Linked DNA regions of Arabidopsis thaliana. The protein of the gene in region 2 binds, or shares a complex with, the protein of the main gene of each other region. Each region holds a gene or a part of one and is shown on either strand. Other genes may lie near its edges. A codon is read from its position in the direction of its gene.

Region 1 (5,191 bases), on a different chromosome or scaffold from region 2:
AACCTGTTGTTTTCTATCAACCGCGCTTTGCACCTGAAGAAAGTAAGTTTCAGACACAAATTATTCTGATGTTTTCGATTTAAAACGCATTTAAGAAGCTTTTGTTTACTTACAGAAGCATGAAATGAGGTTCTTGGACCAATGAGAACTTCAAGTGACTTGAGGAAAGCTTCGTTAACAGTAGTGTCAACGTCGTTGCCGATGCTTCTCATACAAGGAAATTGATTACGCTTCATCTTTATTTCTCCAAAGGGAGATGTATTCTCCGTAGCGAACAAATCTTCCGACGAGAAAGATGCTCGGAAGGCGAAAAAAACGGTTCCTCCTACTTCTTCTTTGAGATAGTGCTCCGTTTGGTTAGCTCCCTTCGACGCCATCCATGATATGGTGACTAGATCACCGTTGACTCCCGTAAGAGCTTCAAACGCCATTTCTCTTTTCTTGAGTGGACTTTCTTCTCTTTTTTCTTTTGAGTCGTCTTGATTCTTAGTCCTCCTACTCTGTTAATATAGTAGGAAGATGTAGACAGGAGTAATTACCCAAAATACCCCATCATGAGACCATTTCAATCTAAGGAAGGTTGTTTGTTACTGGTTCATGCTATTTGAGATGGCTTTAGGCTTTAGTAGAGTAACGTATATATTCTAAGATCACTGTAAAGTGGAAACCAAATTTGACATTAGAATAGAGAGCTATTACATTACTTCACAATGATCATACAACATGTTTCTTATTCTAAGATCATCATGAAGTGGAAACCAGATTGATAAACATTTCTTATTGCACAAATTAAGAGAAGCAAGTGTTCTAATAGCTTAAATACTCCACCACCTAAGGTTCAGGTATCTGTTATTTCATCCATCATATAGTCTCGCAGAGGAGAATGCGATTTGTGATTTTTGGGAAGCGTAATCCACCACTTTCTAAACGTTGAACCCTCCAGAAATATTTCCTTATCATCTACCTCCCCGTCTGTGATCCATTCTCCAAGCATCCCTTCTAATGTCTTAACTCTTACCTCAACTTCCTCGTATGGCTTTCCTTTGAGTTCTTCAACCTCAGCCCAAAAGCATGATCCGCACTCGGATCCCGAATTCTTTAGAGTCTCTTGAATTTCTTCTAGCTGTAACCCTAAGTTAAGACCATTTACCTTGTTCCAAAATACATCTTCTGCAATCATTCCGTTTGGCTTCAGTATATAATGTTCGTAGCCTCTCTGAGCATATATGTAGCGGGTTGGTCTTCCTCTTTTCATGTACGGCCCTGTGTCTTCGTTCTTTAAATGTCGATGGTAGTTTGCAATATCAAGAGGCTCAACTAATCTGCGGTATCGAGTTGCTAACTTGATCCAATCTATGTCCCCTTCGAACTCATCTGGAAGTTGACATTTCTTCATTAAACCAAGCACCTCGTCAAAAACACCGGCTAACTCAGCTCTCTTGACGTTTGCTTTGAAGTCATTCTCTTCATTTGAAACTTTGAAGGAATCATAATACCCATTTTTATGGGCTTGACACTTTGGCTTGTATTCATCTTCTATCCATGCTAGTTTCTTTAAAAACCTCTCTTGCTCGATCACCTAAAAACCACAGAACCAACAAGTTTTATGTTGTTAGACACAAACAGACGAAGCACGTACCTGCATTATTCATGAACAAGCTTATCAACCACAAACCTGAATAATCTTCTTCTGATTCTCTACTCGTTTCTTCTCTTCCTCTAATGCAGCTTGAACGTACTGTCTGCCTCTTGTGCTCTGCAGAAAAAGGAAACACTCTGAAGGGTTTAAATGATTGCAAGAATGGAGCTATGGAGCTGCACAGTATGAAAAGAGAGAGAGAGAGAGACTTACCACTCCAAGGTCATTGAGCGTAGACTCTATTGAGTTTTCTCCATCCAAATGATTAAACAACTTCTTTCCCATCGACTGTACCAGTTCCTCATAGCTATGATGATCTCTGATACTTCGAAATGGAATTAGAGACCATTCTTGTTCATCGCTGGCTTGAGAAGTGTAAAACAGCATTTGAAGAATGGCGTCCGAGTTGTTCACTGCAACCAATCTCTTCTCTGTAGAGAAAACAAAAGTACCGGCGGGTCTATAAGGACTTAGCTCAAGGAAACTAGAAAGGGTCTCTAAAAACGCCTCTGCGCTTCCAGTCAATTCACAAACAGCTTGGTTTGCAACAGTTGATGTGTCTCGCATCACCCTTGTGTAAAACTCTGTTATTCTCTGTTCACTCTCTTGGACGGAAGACTTTCTGGGATCCAATTGGGCAAGAACATGAGGCAAAGTTTCCTCTACAGACGCCTTTCGAGCAAGCATAATCCGAGGGACAATATCGAATCTTGAGACAAAGTTCACAAAGAACCGGCTCCATTTTTCTCTCCCAAGTGCGTGACTGAAGATAGAGTCACCAACCAAAGGAGCTCCAAATGTCACACAACGAGGCTCAAGGTAAACATTTGGATTGCGTATGAAGTATTTCTCCAAATACCAAACTGTTGCTAAGATTGCAGTTGCACCTCCTGAGGAATGTCCTGTGAACACTATCTGTTTTCTACTCCTCACAGCCATTTCCACCTGAAGAAGTAAAAGCATAAGAGACCAAAAAAGAAAAAAAAAGAAAAATATATTCGGATGTTTTCAATCTTCTTACAGAAGCTTGAAATGAGGTTCTTGGATCAATGATAGCTTCAAGATTCTTGAGGAAAGCTTCGTTAACAGTAGCTACATCACCTTTACCGATTTTCCTCATACAAGGAAACTGAACACGGTTCAACTTGATTTCTCCAAAGGAAGATTTATTGTCCGGATCGAAGAAATCTTTCTCTGAGAAAGATGGTTGGAAAGCGAAGATTACGACTGCTCCTGCTTCTTCCTTGTGATAGCGCTCGGTTAGGTAAGCTTGCTTCGAGGCTGACCATGATCTGGTGATTAGATCACCATTGATTCCGGTAAGAGCTTCAAACGCCATTGATCTATATCTATTCTCTTTTCTTTAGTGGACTTTCTTCTCTCTTTTTTCTTTTGAATCGTCTTGCTTCTTTAATCCGCTCCTACTCTGTTAATTTATGGGAAGATGTAGACAGGACTAATTAGTTACCCAAAATACCCCATCATGAGACCATTTCAATGCAAAAATGGGTTTTTTTTTTTGGAGTTGACTCTTTGGCTATTGGAGACTCATGAAGAAAGAAAAGCTAGGAATCTTAGCTTTCCACGTGTCGGTTTTACATTGGTGTATGGCTTTGTACATCCGACATGACTGGAGTTTCGCAGAAACTTTCATAAACATTCACATTTGGTCGGAAAGTTTTCTCTGTGTAATCTTTGCTTGGAAATTTTGTAGCTTGACTTTGGAGTCTTCGTCTCTTTAATATAGACTCCATCTTTTGGTTTGAGATGTCACTCTCGGTTGGGATTTCGCAGTAACTCAATGATATTCACTTTTTTGTCGGAAAACAATTTTGTTGTTTAATGAATGAGGAGATTTGTTCGCTTGGAGTTAAGTTTTTGTAGCTTGACTTGGGTTTTCAGATTTGGTCTCGTATAGAAGAAATCTACTACTTTAACTCTGTTTTGCTTATAAATCTTATCCGGAAAGTAAACCGGATAATCTACAAGATATGGAACCGGTTCGATTTCTCTCAGCTGAATATTAACCGAATTAACTAACTACACCTTCTTGCCTGGTCCGTTTTTGCGTTCGGCAAGACGCGTCACATTCGACTTTTACTTGTTTGATTATGAAGTTACATGAACCGGACTAGAAAAATTTAGTTTGTTTTTTTGGCTAAACCAAATTGCATAACCATATTTTGCTTTCAGATAGAATGAAAAAGCCTAGGAGACTAAATTAACAAAAGAAACAAAAAAAAGTCTAGGAGACTAGAATTTTCTTGGTCTTAATAAAACCCAACTTGGGGAAATTTCTACGAAAAGCCATGTAAAGTGTTCCAACCAACGCTTAAAATAACTAACTTATCTCGCTGGATTCGATTCATGTAGACAGCTTTATTTTAATTAGACAAAAGATTAGCTTGTCTTCGTGTAATGAACGGTACTAAACTACTAATCCATTCCTAAATCATTATTTAAGTAATCTTAACAAAAGAAATTCATATGTTAACTTCCAAAATAACACACCACCATTTTACATATCTCTCATGTAAAGAAAAAAAAAATGTATCTCTTCTCCTCTCTAATGAATCCAAGTCTACAATTTACATTTCTATCTTATAAAAACCCATCTTTGTCACTCTTGATCAGTCTTGGTTCTATCAGCAAAAGAAGCCGTAATGTCTCAAAAATTGTAAGCCGAAAGAATCAGGACATGCATGTGTGTGAATCTTTGAGCTTTTAAAGAACATATCGTACGTGGAATCTGATAAACTCAGATCTTTGCGCGTTTTAGCTGCGAGTAGATATCATTAGCTTCAAGCTCTCTCTTGTGCATAATATTCTTAAAAGCTCTTTCCTCAGCTTTCATTAAAGAATCTCTTAATCTCTTCACATCAGCTAATTTCACAGGCTTCAATAAGAAATCTTCAGCTCCTTCTTCAAGACATCTGAATAAATATAAGGAACCAAATGTTAGTGATCTAATTCCATAAAGTTTATAACTTTGGATACAGAAAATGGCCAGCTCATATATGATAATCATTAAACTTAATCTGGTAAAGAGGGTTTGGTTCCTTAGTAATAAGCAAAGGCATGTGAGGTGTCTATCACGAGGATTGGGATTTTATAAATGACCCTACCTAAGATTATGCAACCCAAACAATTAAAACATATATTATAAAGTTTTGGAGGGCCTAACATGTCACCGGCTTATATAGAATCAAATCTCAAGAGAAGATCTTGCTTAACTTATGATGGATTATTCTTTTCTAAATTTATGGCCACAAGATAAATTTTATTATTCCTAAGATCCATTTTAAAAATCATTTTAGGACCCACTAAAATAAACACCAAATCTCAGCTTGATCAAATATACAACCACCACCAAAGTTAACCCCATGATAGTTAAAAAGTAATCATATAATAACCTTTTCTATCATAACAAAATCTTGTGATTATACAACAATTTAATTTAGTCAATACATATCCTTTAACGGTAACTTTATCACAAATCCTAAATTAGTGTGATTACTTTAAAAAGTTTCCTAAACAAACAATACCCTCTAA
Region 2 (5,571 bases):
TAGAGGTAGTTCTAGTACTAACAAGTTCATGTTATACCTTAATGAGCTTGCTTCCCAGAATCTGCTTAAACTTGTTCATCTCGGGTACGTTGGTGTTGTTTTTTACAACATTTGTTTCATTGCACCTTCTTGCCATCTACCATTTGATCATGAACTTATTTGTTTTACTTACTACCAGGACAAATAAGCGCGAAGACGGTTTTTACAATGAGTTGTTAGTCACTCAACATAATATTCTGAGGGAGTTGGCTATTTTTCAAAGTGAATTGGAACCAATCATGCAAAGAAAGAAACTAAATTTGGAGATACGAGAGGACAACTTTCCGGACGAGTGTTTAAATCAACCTATTAATGCTCGACTTTTGTCTATCTATACGGGTAATTCTTTAAGATCCTCTTCTTCTTTTTCCCCTGAAAATCATGCATAGAAATATGACCACCTTTTTTTTTTGTTACAGATGATTTGTTCTCATCGAAATGGTTGGAAATGGATTGCCCCAATGTTGAGGCTTTAGTTCTTAATATCTCCTCATTAGACTATGCATTGCCAAGCTTCATTGCTGAAATGAAGAAGCTAAAGGTTCTGACAATCGCAAATCACGGTTTTTATCCAGCAAGATTGAGTAATTTCTCGTGTCTCAGCTCATTACCAAACCTGAAACGGATTAGATTTGAAAAGGTTTCAGTCACTTTGCTGGACATTCCTCAATTGCAACTCGGCAGTCTCAAGAAGCTATCATTTTTCATGTGTAGTTTCGGTGAGGTTTTCTACGACACAGAAGATATAGATGTCTCTAAAGCTCTATCGAATTTACAAGAGATTGACATAGACTACTGCTATGATCTTGATGAGTTACCATATTGGATCCCCGAAGTTGTTTCATTGAAGACACTTAGCATCACAAACTGTAACAAGCTCTCTCAACTTCCAGAAGCTATAGGGAACTTGAGTAGACTAGAAGTGTTGAGGATGTGTTCTTGTATGAATCTCTCTGAGCTGCCTGAAGCAACTGAGAGACTCAGCAACTTGCGGTCTCTGGATATTTCTCATTGCTTAGGATTGAGAAAGTTGCCTCAAGAGATTGGCAAACTACAGAAACTGGAGAATATCTCGATGAGGAAGTGTTCGGGATGCGAGTTGCCGGATTCAGTGAGGTATCTAGAGAATCTGGAGGTCAAATGCGATGAAGTAACTGGATTGTTGTGGGAAAGGTTGATGCCAGAAATGAGAAATTTGAGAGTTCACACGGAGGAAACAGAGCATAACCTGAAGTTGCTTCTAACGTTTTAAGTTTTGAGTGAAAAAAAAAACATTTTCGTAGCTTGTGTATTCTTATTGACTCTTTAATGATCACAATCTAGACTAAACGAGTAATAATATTACAAGAGTCAACATGCTATGTCTCGGGTTTGATACTAGTTTATTGCTCTGTAATGAAATTACTAACCACGCTGTATCATTGTATGTACTAGTGATTTTAAATTATGAGCTTTTCAAATACGCATGTTATATTGGGCCGTAGAAACATAAAGGCTTAATTTGAATAAGCCGCTTTGAAAAAGGCCCAATCTAAGAAAGGCATACTCTCGCACGTACGAGGAGAGCACGTTCCGTCTATCGAACAACGTGTGGTTAACGTAAAAGACCAAACGCAAACGCAGTCGTTTTCCTTGGTCATTGCGCGGCAAGGGACCGAGTCTGAGAAGTCAAAGGCGACAGCTTTGCTATGCAATTCGTCTCCTTCGTCTATCTACATTTTTATGAACCACACATTGATATTTCAGTGATCCCCTTTTTCGATTTTCAGCGATTCTACAAACAAGTTTTTTTTTTTTTTTTGGATTCTGGGTTTTGTCTGAGAAGTGAAAGAATGAACGATTGGGCTAGTTTGGGAATAGGTTCTATTGGGGAAGCTGTGTTTTCCAAGCTCCTGAAAGTTGTGATTGATGAAGCAAAAAAGTTCAAAGCTTTCAAACCCTTGTCCAAGGATCTCGTATCAACAATGGAGATATTGTTTCCGTTAACTCAAAAGATTGATTCGATGCAAAAAGAGCTTGACTTTGGTGTAAAGGAACTAAAGGAACTTAGGGATACGATCGAAAGAGCTGATGTAGCTGTTCGGAAGTTTCCAAGAGTCAAGTGGTACGAGAAATCTAAATATACTAGAAAAATTGAGAGAATCAATAAGGATATGCTTAAGTTCTGTCAGATTGATCTTCAGCTTCTTCAGCATAGGAATCAGTTGACGTTGTTGGGTTTGACGGGAAACCTTGTGAATTCGGTTGATGGTTTAAGTAAAAGAATGGACCTTTTGAGTGTTCCTGCGCCTGTTTTTAGGGATCTTTGTTCGGTTCCCAAGCTTGATAAGGTTATTGTTGGATTGGATTGGCCATTGGGGGAGTTAAAGAAGAGACTCCTTGACGATTCTGTGGTTACTCTTGTGGTTTCTGCTCCTCCTGGTTGCGGGAAAACCACGCTGGTTAGTCGGCTTTGTGACGATCCAGATATCAAAGGTATGTATTGTTGATCCACATTAAGTCTTAAAGTTTCAATTTTTACTCGTGAATAGTTGAGCTGGTTTCTCATGTAGTTTCCTTTGGCAGGGAAGTTCAAGCATATCTTCTTTAATGTTGTGTCAAATACTCCTAACTTTAGGGTAATAGTACAGAATTTACTCCAGCACAACGGTTACAATGCACTTACATTTGAGAATGATTCTCAAGCAGAAGTTGGCTTAAGAAAACTGCTGGAGGAACTTAAAGAAAATGGTCCTATATTGTTGGTGTTGGATGATGTGTGGCGGGGAGCGGATTCTTTCCTTCAGAAATTTCAAATTAAGTTACCAAATTATAAGATTTTGGTGACTTCTCGGTTTGACTTTCCGAGTTTTGATTCCAATTATCGTTTGAAACCTTTGGAAGATGATGATGCTAGAGCCCTTCTCATTCATTGGGCATCGCGACCTTGTAACACGTCTCCTGATGAGTACGAAGATCTCCTCCAGAAGGTTGTTGTTTCATTCATCTAGATGAACCTCTATACATTTGTGATCTACGAAATCTGTAACTATATCAATAGATTCATCTTTTTCTTTTTTCACATGGTGAGTATTGCAGATATTGAAACGTTGCAATGGATTCCCAATCGTAATTGAAGTAGTGGGTGTTTCACTCAAAGGACGATCTCTAAATACATGGAAAGGTCAGGTGGAAAGCTGGTCTGAAGGGGAAAAAATTCTTGGTAAGCCTTATCCAACTGTGCTAGAATGTTTGCAGCCTAGTTTTGATGCTCTGGATCCCAACCTTAAGGAGTGCTTTTTGGACATGGGCTCATTTCTTGAGGACCAAAAGATACGTGCTTCGGTAATAATTGATATGTGGGTGGAATTATACGGTAAAGGTAGTAGTATCTTGTATATGTACCTTGAAGACCTTGCCTCCCAGAATCTACTTAAACTTGTTCCTCTCGGGTATGTTATTTATGTTTCAAATCTATATCTTTGCACCTTCTTGCCATCTACCATTAGTGGAACTTATTTATTTCTTTATCAGCACAAATGAGCACGAAGACGGTTTCTACAATGACTTCTTAGTGACTCAACATGATATCCTTAGGGAGTTGGCTATCTGTCAAAGCGAATTTAAGGAAAACTTAGAAAGAAAAAGACTAAATCTGGAGATACTAGAGAATACATTTCCAGACTGGTGTTTGAATACTATTAATGCCTCTTTATTGTCTATCTCTACGGGTAATTCTTTGGGGTCTTCTTTTTCTGAAAATTAAACTTAATGATTATACAAATCTCTGCTGTTTCTAGAAATATGACTTCTCTATAACTATGATTGGTCTCTCTTTTTCTTACAGATGATTTGTTCTCATCGAAATGGTTGGAAATGGATTGCCCCAATGTTGAGGCTTTAGTTCTAAATCTCTCTTCATCAGACTATGCATTGCCAAGCTTCATCTCTGGAATGAAGAAGCTGAAGGTTCTGACAATCACAAATCACGGTTTTTATCCAGCAAGATTGAGTAATTTCTCGTGTCTCAGCTCATTACCAAACCTGAAACGGATTAGATTGGAAAAAGTTTCAATCACTTTGCTAGACATTCCCCAACTGCAACTCAGCAGTCTTAAGAAGCTGTCTTTGGTCATGTGTAGTTTCGGTGAGGTTTTCTACGACACAGAAGATATAGTTGTCTCTAATGCTCTATCGAAATTACAAGAGATTGACATAGACTACTGCTATGATCTTGATGAGTTACCGTATTGGATCTCTGAAATTGTTTCATTGAAGACACTTAGCATCACAAACTGTAACAAGCTCTCTCAACTTCCAGAAGCTATAGGCAACTTGAGTAGACTAGAAGTGTTGAGGCTGTGTTCTTCTATGAATCTCTCTGAGCTGCCTGAAGCGACTGAGGGACTCAGCAACTTGCGGTTTCTGGATATTTCTCATTGCTTAGGATTGAGAAAGTTGCCTCAAGAGATTGGCAAACTGCAGAATCTGAAAAAGATCTCGATGAGAAAGTGTTCGGGATGCGAGTTGCCGGAGTCAGTGACGAATCTAGAGAATCTGGAGGTCAAATGCGATGAAGAAACTGGATTGTTGTGGGAAAGGCTGAAGCCAAAAATGAGAAATTTGAGAGTTCAGGAGGAGGAAATAGAGCATAACCTGAACTTGCTTCAAATGTTTTAAGTGAAAGAACGTTATCGTAGTAGCTTCTGTGGATCTTGTAATGTTTGTTATTCATTATTTTCGTTGTTATATACATTATAATGGCTACTGAGTCCAAGTACAGAGAAAATGTCATGCCAAAGAATTTTGTGTAGGTCAATCTTTTAAAACCATTTAAGAGTACTACTAAATCCTTGATCCTTATCTAACTTGAATAGATTTGAACAGAGTTATTCACCAACATTTTTGACAAACTATAAATGTAATATTCAACATTCTTAATGTTAAAAATATAATGTTGGTAAATTCTTTGAAAATCCTAAAATGTGAAGTCAAGTCTCCTTTTTCCTTTGCTAGCTAAACTTCTGTTCTGGGATTCAAACAATGGTTTGTTTGAAACTTCAAAGTACCGCGTGACTTTTCCGTTATAAATTTGATCTAATGGCTTTTATGAAGAGTCACGTTTTTTATAATCAAAGAAAGAGTCGGTCAATAGATTAAAATTTCTCTCAAATTGCTTGGTTTTCATCTTAATTCATAATTCTCCTCTCCCTTCATAGGAACCATTATGAATTCGAATTCGATTCAAAGCTTTGATGCCTTGCCCCACAATCTTCGAGAGTGTTTCTTGGACATGGCCTCATTTCTTGAAGACCAAAGGATAATAGCTTCCACTATAATTGACTTATGGTCTGCATCATACGGTAAAGAGGGTATGAATAACCTCCAAGATCTTGCCTCTCGCAATCTCCTTAAACTTCTTCCTATTGGGTATGTTACTTTCCATTCATCTACCAATTCTTAACCCTAAAGCCTATAGAAAACGGTTTCACCATATTTTTCCCAACTTTCCTTTATTTATTTGCTTTAATATAGGAGAAATGAGTATGAAGA

Evidence for each region.
Region 1: the proteins of AT5G66900 (region 2) and EDS1 are in contact, whole or in part, in a cryo-EM structure (PDB 8YN1), measured with the Arabidopsis thaliana proteins. Residues at the interface, in NP_201491.1 of Arabidopsis thaliana: Glu798, His801, Asn802, Leu803; in NP_190392.1 of Arabidopsis thaliana: Arg383 (codon at 1,564), Glu416 (codon at 1,465), Phe419 (codon at 1,456), Lys420 (codon at 1,453), Val423 (codon at 1,444), Glu427 (codon at 1,432).

The regions. Positions count from the first base shown.
Region 1 is NC_003074.8:17,754,715-17,759,905, forward strand, and holds EDS1 (alpha/beta-Hydrolases superfamily protein), read right to left. Parts: upstream 3,434-5,191; 5' UTR 2,979-3,433; coding exon 2,661-2,978; intron 2,585-2,660; coding exon 1,853-2,584; intron 1,757-1,852; coding exon 1,676-1,756; intron 1,580-1,675; coding exon 839-1,579; 3' UTR 615-838; downstream 1-614. Other genes in the region: AT3G48080 (alpha/beta-Hydrolases superfamily protein), read right to left, coding at 1-33, 114-431; RR5 (response regulator 5), read right to left, coding at 4,398-4,572. UniProt on the Arabidopsis thaliana protein: Positive regulator of basal resistance and of effector-triggered immunity specifically mediated by TIR-NB-LRR (TNL) resistance proteins.
Region 2 is NC_003076.8:26,714,058-26,719,628, reverse strand, and holds AT5G66900 (Disease resistance protein (CC-NBS-LRR class) family), read left to right. Parts: upstream 1-1,670; 5' UTR 1,671-1,727; coding exon 1,728-2,514; intron 2,515-2,604; coding exon 2,605-3,008; intron 3,009-3,117; coding exon 3,118-3,470; intron 3,471-3,552; coding exon 3,553-3,749; coding exon of another isoform or gene 3,750-3,784; exon of another isoform or gene 3,785-3,865; coding exon 3,866-4,698; 3' UTR 4,699-4,906; downstream 4,907-5,571. Other genes in the region: AT5G66910 (Disease resistance protein (CC-NBS-LRR class) family), read left to right, coding at 1-84, 179-378, 459-1,291; AT5G66890 (Leucine-rich repeat (LRR) family protein), read left to right, coding at 5,246-5,448, 5,554-5,571. UniProt on the Arabidopsis thaliana protein: Probable disease resistance protein.